Linked DNA regions of Mus musculus. The protein of the gene in region 1 interacts with the protein of each later gene in a biochemical or structural test. Links are inferred from orthologs where the notes say so. Each region holds a gene or a part of one and is shown on either strand. Other genes may lie near its edges.

Region 1 (4,191 bases):
AGACCACAGGCAGAGAGTTCACTATTGAGGGGACAAATGCAAATTTCCCAGAAGAGGAGGGGCAAAGAGAGGAGCCATTGGGTCATGGCTTCCACACACACTAAGGTTAGGGATGAGACAGCTTCTTCCCAAATGGCCATCCAAAGTGTCCCTTGGAGTCCTCCGCAGCCCTGTCAGAGGGTATCATCCACAGGGTGTCCTGTGCTTCCCCACTGCCCTGGCCTGTTCTCCTAACACCTGTTTAGCTCCCACCTCCTTCCTGATCACAGGGAACACTGCAGCCACCATTCAGCTGTACCTCCATGGTCTACTCTAGCAGGGCGCATCCTGGCTTGAGTCAGCAACAAAGAGAAAACAAGGGGCTCAAAGCGAATCTGAGAGAGAGGCCAAACCATCCTGAGGGCTGCAGGTAGGATAGGAGAGGAGAGACAACCTGGGGCAGGCCCTCCCTTCCCACTCACCAGCAGAAGAGGAAAGCCTTCTAGGGAGTGTCCTCCAGCTTCTTTGTTTGTTTGTTTGTGGTTTTCTTTGTGTTTTGAGGGTTTTTTTTGGTTGGTTGTTTGTTTGTTTGTTTGGGTTGGAGTTTTTTTGTTGTTTTGTTTGGGGGTTTTGGTTTTTCAAGACAAGGTTTCTCTGTGGAGCCCTGGCTGTACTGGAACTTACTTGATAGACCAGGCTGGCCTTGAACTTCCAGACATCCACCTTCCCCTGCCTCTTTTGAGTGCTGGGATAAAAGGCCTATGGTACCACCTCCACTCCGCTTGTTTTAGTTTAAGTCAAGGTCTCATGGAGCCCTATCCGGCCTCAAACTTGCTATGGAATGGAGGATAAACTTGACCTTCTTCTGGTCTTCCTGCCTCCACCTGGGCTCACAGGCACGTGTCACTCACACTAGGTTTATGCACGACAGGGAATAGAACCCAGTGTTTAATGCATGGCAGGCAAGCACTCACCACCTGAGCCACAGTCCCTAGACCTTCAGTCCTCAGTTTTAGTCAGTAACTTGTGAACAAAACTATTGAGCTAAGTTTGTAGGCACGAATCTCAAAACAGACTTTAAAACTGCGTGGAAGGTAGCTAGTGGCAAAGCGCTCACTCAACTCAGACAAGGCCCCGGGTTCAGGCCCCAGCAGAGAAGGGTGTGGGGATCAAGTTCGGAATCATTTCAACTGTAAATACACAGACACAGGACAGGAACAGGTACGCAGAGCCCCAGAGTCCATAAGAAAACCCTGAGTTAATAGGGGTTGCCAGTCAGTCCCTGTGCTATACAGCTAAGACGAGCCCCAGTGTAATGAATGAGGGACATTTATCTCCATAACCTTCCCTTTGCACATGCTCTGAGAAGACCACAAGAGAACAGCCAGCCCAGCTATGGGGGCCGTGTCTTTGCAGCACTAGTTGGGGATATCCTGAGGGTCTCCTTAAGTCAGATAAGCCTGGGCCCTTCTCTACCTGTGACCACCTCAGCGACCTTGCTTTCACCAAGCTCTGTCCAGCCCCACCTCAGTGTGATGCTGAGAGAAGTCCCTGAGTACCCCAGTACCAGTGGACCTCTAAGACCTTATTAAGACAGGGACCTAGAGCCCCAGGCTGTGTAGAGGGCTGGAAGAAGGCACCAGAGTTCCATGGTAGGACAAGCTTTCTAGTAATAGGGCCGACCTGATGAGAAACACCAGAGACAAGGAGTGGCCTCTCTGTTACTCTCAGGATGAGGTTGCTAGGCAGCAGGAACCCTGCAGGAAGGCAAGGGGAACCCTTCTCTGGCTTCCTCAGGGGACAGGGGATTGGTTAGATACATGGGAATCATCAGCCTACAGAGGGAAGAGGCTGAGAACACTGAGAGAACAGGTGTGGAAGATCAGGGATGAAGAACGGACTGGGAACAGAAGGACACCTGGTCTGGATGTCCACTTATCTCAAGGGACAGGGCCAACCTGCAATGCCCCTCACCTCTCACTGGTGGGGTCCGAGCAGTTCAGTGGGTACTTAAGGTGGATGATGGTGCCATCTCGGTCCTGCAGGATGCCCTGCTGCTGCGTGTAATACTCGACCAGCTCTGTCAGCGTCGCAAACTTCTCCCCTCCGTACAGGTCATAGAAGTCCCCTGAGTTCTGGATCCGAATATGAGTCACCTGATCATCCACCCTGCGAGGCACCACCAGGTAGTGAGATACATGAGCAGCAGCGGGGTGGGCTTGGGGGGACAGGGGTCTCGATGCAAAAGCACATAGGCATGGAGTAGACATAGACAGTTATGGGCACATGCTAGGGCGACAGGCAGGGACAGAAGGGAAGAAATGTATCATGAGGAGACAACACAACCCAGGGAACCCAGGAATGCTCCGGACCCACACAATGAGCTGCCAAGGTGCAGGGAGGGCCACCCACCTGACTGAGAGGGAGAAGTCACCCTGGTTCTTGCGGCTGGGCCGAGCCAGGAAGCTCCCAGGGACTCCCCGGCCCTTCAGCAGGGTCTCTGCATCAGGCCCGCTGAGGTCCCGGTGAAACCACCTAAAAGTGCACAGGGCAGTGAGGGAATATCCCCAGGGCTCCAGCCACCCTTGTTTCCTATCCTCCATGGGTCCCAGGCCCTTACCTCACCATCCTGGGGTTCTCACTGAATTGGCTGCAGAAAATGTGGAGGGAACAGTTTGTCTGGGCAGGCACGTACAAACTCTAGAGATGAGCCTCAGGCAAGGCTCTCAGAGCCCAGGCCTCCAAAGCCAACCTGCAGTCCTGCTCCCCGGGCTACCACTCTACTGGCCTGGGGCAGCCAGCAGGGCGGAGACAGGAAGGGGCGCGGCCGACCCCTTAGGGGAACTCACTAGAACTTCTCTTTTCAGAGCGAGGGAAGAGGAGCTGGAGGGTGGCAGGGTGGGGGAGGGCCCACTTCCCACAGTCTGCCAACAAAGGCACAGGGGCAAGGCAGTAAATATTCATGACTCAAGAGGTAAGGCACACGTGTGGCAGGTCAAGAGTCACGCACAGTGAATATCCACATTATCAGGTCAACCCTTCCTCCTCCAGCAGCTGCCTCTACTCAGAATTATTCTTAGGCACAGTCTAATAATGATCGTGTGCAGTGGCACCGTCATTTAATGGAGTGTCGCAGCCTGCCAGACTCATTGCTACAATGTCATTTTCATGCCTCCTGTGAGTTACAGGTCACCAGGGCCTCATTCCTCAGGCACTATCTTTATCCCCACTTCACAGACAAGGAAACTGAGGCCAAGAAGTTTGAGGAATTGCCCCCAGGTCTTACCCTTAGTGAGTTGCAGGATTCAGACCTAAATAGTTTCAAAGCCAATGACTTTTGAATTCTGCTTGCCAGCCCTCAGGACCCAAAGAACAGTAGTCAATAGACTCCTTGTCCAAAGGAGATGCTATCATCACAGCTGAGAGCCCCCACAAAGCAACCTTGTGCAGCTCTGTCATCATGGGCCTAGGCCTCCTTCCTATACCCTGACTGTCAGCAGGGAGGGGTGGGGTGGGAAGGTATCTCCTAAAGGTTAGGGTTTATGGCCAGGGTCCCAACAAGGGCAGACGCTCACAGGGAGGGCTTTAAACTTTAGGAGCGCTCAGCCTTCAGGCTTATGGGACCTTGTGTATGTAAACCCCAGGATGAATACAAAAAAAGATGCAAATACTACCAAGCCAAGACCAGAGGGGAAACAAGCTGCCCAATTTATATTGGTATCTTCCTTAGCAAGGGACACAGGCTGCTGGAGAAGGGAGATGGGACAGAGCACCTTATATCTTTTAAGGGTTTATTGTCTGAGGTGTTTTGATTGGTTAGTTTTGGTTTGTTTGTTTGTTTGTTTGTTTGTTTGTTTTATAATACTGAAATTAGAACCCCAGTCCTAGCTGGGCATGGTAACCCATGCCTTTAATCCCAACACTTGGGAGGCATAGGCAGGCAGCTCTCTGTGAGTTTGAGGCCAACTTGGTCTATACAGTGAGTTCCAGGATATCTAGCGCTATATAGTGAGACCTGTTTCAACAACAAGAACAACAAAACCAACCCAGACTCTCAGTCCCTTAAACAGTGTGAGGAGCATCCTTGGGCAGGCATCCTTGGGCAGTGTACATCTTCCACCCTATTTCTTTTCCTTATTCATTTGATTCCCTTCACACTTCTGCAGTCCTAGGGTTTGAACTTAGGACCTCAAACTCGCAAGGCAAAGGCTC
Region 2 (4,180 bases), on another chromosome or scaffold:
CAAAATGAGTTTCAGGACAGTGAGGTCTGCACAGAGATATCCTGTCTTGAAGAAACAAGAAAAAATATTCAAGTTTAGACCAGGCATGGTGGTGCATACCTCTAATCCCAACATTTGAGAGAAAGAGGCAGGTGGATCTCTCTGAGTTTGAGGTCAGCTTGGTCTACACGGTGAGTTCTAGATCAGTCAGGACTACATAGTAAGGCCCTGTCTCAAAGAAATGAAGAAGAAGAAGAAGGAGAAGAAGAAGAAGAAGAAGAAGAAGGAGGAGGAGGAGGAGGAGGAGGAGGAGGAGGAGGAGGAGGAGGAGGAGGAGGAGGAGAAAGAGGAGGAGGAGAAGAAGAAGAAAAACAAAGAAGAAGAAGAAGAAAAACAAAGAAGAAGAAGAAGAAGAAAAACAAAGAAGAAGAAGAAGAAGAAAAAGAAAAAGGAGGAGGAGGAGGACAACTACAACCACAACAACAATAACAAGAAGGGTCATGGTAGTGGTGGTGGTGGTGGGGTGGTGCTGATGGTGGAGGAGAGATGGCTCAGAGTTAAAGAGATGGCTCTTCCAGAGGCCCTCAGTTCAATTTCCAGCAATATGGTAGCTCATAACCATCTGCTAATAAGACCTGGTGCCCTCTTCTGGCACACAGGTGTGCATGTAGGCATAGCACTACATAATAAATAAATCTTAAAAACAATATGGAAGAGGCAGAAGGAGCAGAGTTCAAAGTTATCCTCAACTACAGAGAGACTTGAAGTCTAACCTGGGCATAGAAAATTCTGTCTGTGGCGTGGGGGATGGTGGAGAGAAACTGGAGTCAGTCTATCCAGAGTGACTGAATCCTGCAGCTTGCTGATTTTAAATTCTTTGTTGTAGCTTCAGGTGAACTTTGGCTGAGTGATAGACCCATGGAGATTTTGTATCATATTTTCTTCCCAAGGTGCTACACTTGTAAGTATCTTAGTTCTCTATGGTGCTTGGTTTCTGTCTCAATAGACCTGATAAGGCAGTATTTTAGTTAATATGTAGTCAAATTCTGAGAGTTCTTTAACAAACTTCCTTGTCTTGAACTTGCCCTTAGAGAACATGTCTAGTTTTCAGCTTCTTTTGCTCTTTGAAAAAAAAAAGTGTTTGGTTTCAAAGCATTCCTATTTTCTTCTCTAGCTCATTGCATACTACTAAAGCTTCTAATTTTTAAAACAGTTATGAGATACGGTTTGCTAAGCATGCATAGTCAAAACCCAATTTCCTGCATAGCTCAGTCAACCTCAAAGAAGTGCGGTGGCTGACCGACCTAAGTGTCCTGTGTCAGGATTGTGTGGCCTGGCTCGCTGGAAAGCAATCTAAGTTTCTCCTGTTTATTTAGCATGTGTAGAGCTCTTCCTGGATCTAACTTTTAGCCAGGGAATGTCTTTTGTTATGGGAGCAAAAGGAAGCTAAACTATAAAATAGCCTTGCTGCGATGTTCTGGGCTATCTAAGATCCAAAGGTCTAAACTAATCCAAAGGCCTCAATATTCTTTTTAAAGAGAGAATGATATTCTAACATTGCGAAAGAAAACAGAAAACCTACTTGTCACACTTGCAACTGAAGTATGAAGCCTAAAGAGTTCTTAAAGCAAGGTGGAGCTATGAGGACCCCAGCTGTGTAGGAAGCCAGCCCTCCTGAGGATGAAGAACATCTGCTGGCTCACCCTGAAACTTGTGAAGTTTGTGGTCCTTGGGTGCATCATATGGATTTCTGTGGCACAGAGTACAGTTCTGAGCAGCTGCCTAACGTCCTGTGTAACTAACCTGGTAAGTTTCACCGACTTTTGTCTTTGCAGAGATTAGGATATGAATCCCACTTGCAACTGACAGGTTCGTTTTCTTTTCATGACAAGGTCGCAAAGAAAACTGCTTATTGTCTCTCCCTTCCCCCCAAACCCCCCAAAGAAGGAGAATATATAGCTTCAAAATGTAAGGAAGGATATTTTATTTAATTATTATCAAATTCTAGATTTTTCAGCGGGGGGGTATGGGAGGCCTTAAATGGAATCAGATTTTACAAACTACTCAGTAATTTATTATAAAATAATTAATATTTGTTTAAAATATAAACTAGAATTTTGGTACACTTTGTTGGTACTATGGATGGATCGCTGACTAGGAAGCAGATGCAGAGGCCAGGTACAACATTTTGTGTCAAAAGACAGGATTATTTATGTCTCTTTATTTCTTCCTAAGAATTCCTCAGGTTGACTAATCAGTTTTGACATGAACATTTTTCTTTCTTATTGTGGTCCTTTTTGTCTGTATTGTATGATATTGCCTCACTTGTATGATAGTGACTTGGGTGTGCTTACTTGTATATTTTATGTTCCTAAATTAAGTTGAAAAACCAAAGGCTGTACCAGGAAGACATGCCTTGTTCCTATCTAAGGGTTAAATAACATGATAGATTAGGTATGCCATTTTGTACCCTTATTATAAAGTAACAAAGTGTCTAACACCGTACTCATCCTTAAGCTAACATATTGGAGGTAGAGGTCTCTGGCAGATTAGAAAAAGGTGTTACACACATCCGTTTTAAGTAAAGCAGTAGATTGTTGCTTGGGCAAACTGTAGATGGTAGCAATTTAGAAAGAGTTTACAAAGGTCTTAGCCAAGATCTCACTGCTTTGGATGCAGACAGGTTTGCTTTGCGTTTTTGTAGTTATGTTACAAACTTGCAAATAGAAGCAAGTATTGTGAGAGAAGCTGAGGCAGGGGGGCAGGAATGTCATGCCAGCCTAGCCTATAGGAGCTGTATGAGAATAGGCTCTTCTACCCTAAAAAAGACCTCTTCATTCACTTCCGGAGAAGTCAATGGATACACACACACACACACACACACACTCCTTCCCCCACCATATGGTTTATATGATTAAACAGGAAAAAATGAAGGAAGACTGGTGGTCCCTCTGTTAACCCTTGATATTTTTCTCAAACATATCTTGGTATGTATGTTGTGTGTATATATAATTTTATTTTGAGACAGAGGTTCACTTTGTAGTCAAAGTTGGCCCCCAAATCCTGGCAATCCTCATCCTCCAGTCTGCCTCAGATTAGAATTACAATAGCAAGCTACTATGGCTGGCTTAAACATATTTATAATTTTACATAAAACCATTTCATTTTACCTTATATTATAGATTTCCCTTTATATCCTGAAGGTCTTTGGAAATAAGCTCTTTAACATATTTAGAGAGCTCTGTTAAGAGCCTGTACCACTGCAGGATATCCATTTCCTTACTCTTGAAACTGATTTTGATTATTTTTCAAAACTGCAGTCTTCATTTTGCTTTGAGTTCTCCTTATTGTTCTCTGTGTGTGGGCTCCATGCCCTCAGGGTTTGGTAGCCCAGACAGTTCCTTTGTTGAGCTGCCTTCCGTTCACCACCTACAGCAGAGGGCACAGGCCCTGAGGTGGCCATTGCAAGAGACACAGTCTGCTGGTTTGACCAGTAAATGTAATAAAGTGTTCTAAACTGAGCCTCCCACTCAGGTTTGGGAGGGGCAGCAGTAGGTGGATGGACAAATGAACGTAGCCACGAAGCATGAGACACTTAGTATTCTCTGCCGTCCTTTTTAATGTGGACATTTGCTGTGAAGAGCATCTTTGATGTCAGGATTTTGATAGGTGGCTGATATGAAGGCAGTTTCTGTTTTTTATTTAAACACGAAACACATTCTTGAATAAAAGAATGTTAGGATTAAGTCAAGCATGGTGATTCTTGCAGTCAGGAAGCAGATGCAGAATCAGGACAGGTTTGAAGTCAGTCTGGGCTACAGAGTGAGCTCCAGGATAGACTTGTCTACAGAGTAAGACAGACAGTGACCACAACAAGCCAACCGCAGAAAATAATGCTAGAATTGCTGGGGAAAGCACAAGCCTGAGTTCTGTGTTTGAGTAGAGGGAATTTTGTGTTCACTGAGAGACTCTATGTGTGAGCTCAATATATTAATGGCCTTATACTTGAATTCTAGACGCCGTGTGCTCCAGGGAAACAAATAGTGAATCTTCTTAAGACTATTAATATTATGAGATGGCTTATAAAATAGAATCAATCAACCAATCAATCAGTCAGTCAGTCACTCAAACAACCCTCCCCCAAAATTCATAGTCAAATTAAGTTGTAGAAGTGCATTTTGCTGGAGATCCTCAGGGCGCA
Region 3 (4,198 bases), on another chromosome or scaffold:
ACAGAGATCTACCTGCCTCTGCCTCCCAAGTGCTAGGATTAAAGGCCTGTGCCACCATGCCCAGCTCCACCCCCTTCTTCTTTTTACCCTTTCATATTTGGGAATATATTATATAATAGCCTCAGGCCATGAGGAATTAAGTCAGGCTGCACTGGGCAATAGTCCTAGCCATAAAGAATGGCTCCGCCCCAGCCTGACTGGTCAGCTCCACCTGCAGAAACAAGGTGCCCAAGTATCAAAAAGAACCCACCCTGCTTCCAGTCCAACTACAAAAAAATAGCTGTAACTTCCTGGTAGTGATGCATATACACACATGCACACACACACACGCACCCCTACATATGCACTACGTGTGCACATACACACACACATCCCCAGCCCCTCATCCTTCATCCCTGGGGAAGGTTGAGGCTCCTTCCAGTTCCAACAAAGCAACTTCAGTCTATTGCCTGCTTCTCTGGGCCATGTTTCTTACAGCAGATGTCTTGTGAAGCAGAGAGAGAGACAGAGACAGAGACAGAGACAGACACAGAGATGGGAGACAAGCTATGGGGATCTTGAGATGCAAGAACCCTCTAGGGCTGGCAGGGCAGAACCCAGACAGGAGACAGAGAGTGCTGGGATGTAGTTCAGTCAGTAGAGTGCTTGCCTCACATGCTTAAAGCCCTGGGTTTGACTGCCAGTGCTGCATAAACCTGGTGTGGTGTGTGCCTATAATCTCAGCCCTTGGGAGAGGAAAGTAGGAGGACCTGAAAGTCATTGTCATCTGAGCTACACAGTGGGTTTCAGGTATATGACACCCTGAGGGCAAGAGAGAGATGGAGTGGGGATAGGGGGCACGGAAGGGTACAGAGCAAATAGGGCACAAATTTAAACTATAAAGGAGGGCTGGGGTGATTGCCCGGGATCATTTACTAATCCTATAGACAGCACAAATGACTCCTCCTCCCTTACTCCAATCTCAACTTTACCCTGCTCGAGCCACCAGGTCTGTGGGTGGTTTCCATTTTATAGTCAGGGGAAAAAGGTCCCAAGAAGCAAAGCCAAGCCGGCTGAGTGACACCAGGCTGGGGAGTATTGGGGAGGCTAAGGCAAGAGGAGTTAGAGTTAGTCCCTAGGCAGCCCGGGCTACACAGTGGGTTCAAGACTACCTTAGCAGTGTGAGACCCCAGTCCCCAACCAGAGCAAGCTAAGTAAAGCCAAGCACAAGCCCCAGAGAGATGTCTGGGTTCCAGGGAGCGGAGGCCGTAGTGCTGACAAGCCCTGACATTCTAGGCTGAGTCATGTCTTTCTGAGGCTCACCCATCCCACCCTTTAGTGGGGATGACTTGAAGACAATACACAGTCTGTCTCCAGGTGTTGCCAAGGGAGCCAGAAGCCTAAGGAATCACAGACTCACAGACCACAGCCCTCCCCACCCTGGGGCCACAGCTCCATCCCTGGCTCAACTCAGCCCTGTCACGTTCTTCAGCTCAAAAATGCCTGCAGCCCAGCATCCCTAGTCTTCCCACACTGGAATAACTTTTGACTGAGCCAGTGTAATCTGTGGCCTTCTTCCTGACCCACAATCCCTGGGCTGGGCTGAGCCTCTTCCTTCAGAGTCTCTGATGGACGGAGCGAGACAGATCCTCTTAATCTGAAAAATTCGGAGGTTCCGAATCAGCTCTCGAGTGGATGATAGGTCTGACTTTAAAGACAGGCAGAACCCTTCCCCACAAGCAAGCTCAGATAGGAGCGGAGCCTCCCCGGTGGGAGGGAAAGGGGATCTGGCTGGTCCTTTTTGTTACTCTCTTAGGACAGAGGGAGTCCTGACACCCATTTACTGTCTGCTCCTTCAGCCTCCATAGTCTGTCAAGTCAACTGAGTCTCATTTGTAAATTAAAACAAGTGAAAGGAAAAAAAAATACTTTTTTAAGTTTTTATTTTTTGGGAGTCGGTTTTGTACTGTTTCACGTAGTAGCTCAGGCCTCCCTCAAACTCCTATGGAGCCGAAGCTGGACTTCACTACTGATCTTTCTGTGTCTGTTTTCCAAGTACTGGGATTACAGACTCTAAATCCAAGCGAATAAAGAGAAGAGTTTGAAAGTAAACAATTAGAGGCATAGTATGATGTAAAAAGAAATAGCTTATGACAGAAAGACCACAAACATATAAGGAATCATATATATACATATATACATATAAGGAATTTTTTTAAAAAAACCCATCTCTCCCATTCCAACAAACAGAAACCCACCAAGATGTAAGACTGGTGTTCAGCAATTTTCTCCTACACCGCTGTCTCTAATACACACTCTTTGAACCTTGATTTAGAACAAGGCTTTGAGAGTTTTCTTAGTTGTTGTAAACACCAACCCTAAGCAGTCTGACATGAGTTAATTTCAGAAAAGACACAAAGAAGGAAGCCATGTGAAAATACCAGGACTTACAGTTTTCCTCAGCCTGGAGGCTTGCATCTGGAAGAGAAAGAAAAAGAAAGCCAATCTGTTGATTTCACGAATTCAAGTCTCATAAGAAGGGAAGAAGGAAGCAGGTTAGAAACTCACAGAGCACCAGCGTGAGTCCCAGAGCCAGGAGCATCTTGTCTGCCGACTGAGGCCCACCTCAGCTGAATCCTGAAAGACTTCTGCAGACTGAAGCACTCAGCTAGTTCTGTCTTCCGGCCATGCCTCAGGGGCAGAATTCTCTTGCCTGCCACAGACCAGAAGCCTGCTGTGTGAAAAGCAGAAACAACTCTGACAACCTCTCCAGGCGCGCAGAGACCAGCTCTGGTACTTGTCAGGTAATGGCGGCCATAGCTGGAAACCAAGAACAATGAGGTCTGGGCTGGCCTGATATCTCCTCAGGAAATGACTGGCCTTCCGGAGGGACCACTGAACCCAATGGCTTTGTCTAGAAGAGGAGAAAACAACAACAACAACCAAAAAAACCCACAAGTAGCATTTGCCTCAAAGTTCTTGCGCTTCTAGCCTCATCTGGGTTTGGGGACTTCTTCTCCTGACAGGACAAGGAGGTTTTATTTCCACTCAAAAGTGCTTTTGTGGGATACCTAGCAAGACCTGTTTGCCTTTCCTGTGGGCTCCCTATGGGGGCTGTATCCATAGAGTGTAAATCTGGGCCTCCTATCCTGCACTGGCCAGCTTCTCCGACAATATGCAGTCCTTGTGAGGAACGCTACTGGTGGCTCAGTAGAAAGAGGGATTTTCTTAAGCCGCTGCAGTGGTCCCTGATCACCGGCTTAGTCACCAAAGGAGCCCCTTTGGCTGTTTGTGTATGTGTGTTTGTGTGTGTGTTTGTGTGTGTGTGACTGTGTATGTATGTATGTATGTGTGTTTGTGTGTGTGTGTGACTGGGTGTATATGTGTTTGTGTGGAACTGTGGGTGTATGTGTGTGTCTGTGACTGTGGGTATATATGTGTGTGTAGTACACACTACTTTCCCCACTGCCAATTCCCAACCTTTCTTATTAAACATTTATTTATTTGTGTATGTGGAAGTAGGGTAGAATGCATGTGTACCACTATGTATTGGGGGGGGTGTGTCAGAGGTCAACGTGTAGAAATTCTCTCCTTCCATTATGTGAGTCCCAGGATCAAACTTAGATCATCAGACTCGACAGCTGGCACCTTTCTCCAGTGAACCGTCCTGTCCCCCTTTCATGCATGTTCATGAGAGAATGAATACATTTTGAGGGAGGAGTGTCTGTGTGCCTGTGTGTGCTTGGAAGCCAGAAGAGGCGATTGTCACGTTCTCCAGAGGTGATGGGACCTGAAATCCAGTCCTCATGATTGCTCTTAATTGCCAAGTCATCTCTCCAGTCCCCAGCTCACCCCTTCTCCCTCCTCCCGACACCCTCCTCCCCTACCATCGGGCTAACATTCCCTTTTCCCTCCCTTCATCCCTTCCTTCTTTATTCTGACCCAGGGGATGGCTAAATGGCAAGATGCCTTTGAACACAACCCTCCCATCACAGACAAACACCCGAGATTGCAGATGTGTGTTTAGCCTTGCCTCCTACGGAATTTTCTAGACTATAAATTGGTTTCTCTCCCTTTGATGTTTGAAAGGTTGTAACATTCTCTGGGAAAAGGCAGACCCCAGGCCTCCCTTACCCAGTTCTTGCTCACCCCCTTGCTTCCCCCTCTACCTTGGAATCATACCACTTCCTTCTTCGCCCTGAGCTCTAGTTGCTAAGGTG

The links.
Region 2: of the proteins of Ptpn6 (region 1) and Ros1, one has a biochemical effect on the other in vitro, tested with the Homo sapiens proteins (2 studies listed by BioGRID and IntAct). The link is inferred for Mus musculus from reciprocal best matches to the Homo sapiens genes PTPN6 and ROS1.
Region 3: the proteins of Ptpn6 (region 1) and Pecam1 form a complex in vitro, tested with the Homo sapiens proteins (2 studies listed by BioGRID, with this or other methods). The link is inferred for Mus musculus from reciprocal best matches to the Homo sapiens genes PTPN6 and PECAM1.

The regions. Positions count from the first base shown.
Region 1 is NC_000072.6:124,730,347-124,734,537, forward strand, and holds the start of Ptpn6 (tyrosine-protein phosphatase non-receptor type 6), read right to left. Parts: upstream 2,809-4,191; 5' UTR 2,608-2,808; coding exon 2,600-2,607; intron 2,515-2,599; coding exon 2,392-2,514; intron 2,149-2,391; coding exon 1,954-2,148; intron 1-1,953. UniProt on the Homo sapiens protein: Tyrosine phosphatase enzyme that plays important roles in controlling immune signaling pathways and fundamental physiological processes such as hematopoiesis.
Region 2 is NC_000076.6:52,192,436-52,196,615, reverse strand, and holds the start of Ros1 (proto-oncogene tyrosine-protein kinase ROS precursor), read left to right. Parts: upstream 1-1,371; 5' UTR 1,372-1,659; coding exon 1,660-1,785; intron 1,786-4,180. UniProt on the Homo sapiens protein: Receptor tyrosine kinase (RTK) that plays a role in epithelial cell differentiation and regionalization of the proximal epididymal epithelium. NELL2 is an endogenous ligand for ROS1.
Region 3 is NC_000077.6:106,712,473-106,716,670, forward strand, and holds the start of Pecam1 (platelet endothelial cell adhesion molecule isoform 3 precursor), read right to left. Parts: upstream 2,810-4,198; 5' UTR 2,581-2,809; coding exon 2,547-2,580; intron 2,457-2,546; coding exon 2,430-2,456; intron 1-2,429. UniProt on the Homo sapiens protein: Cell adhesion molecule which is required for leukocyte transendothelial migration (TEM) under most inflammatory conditions.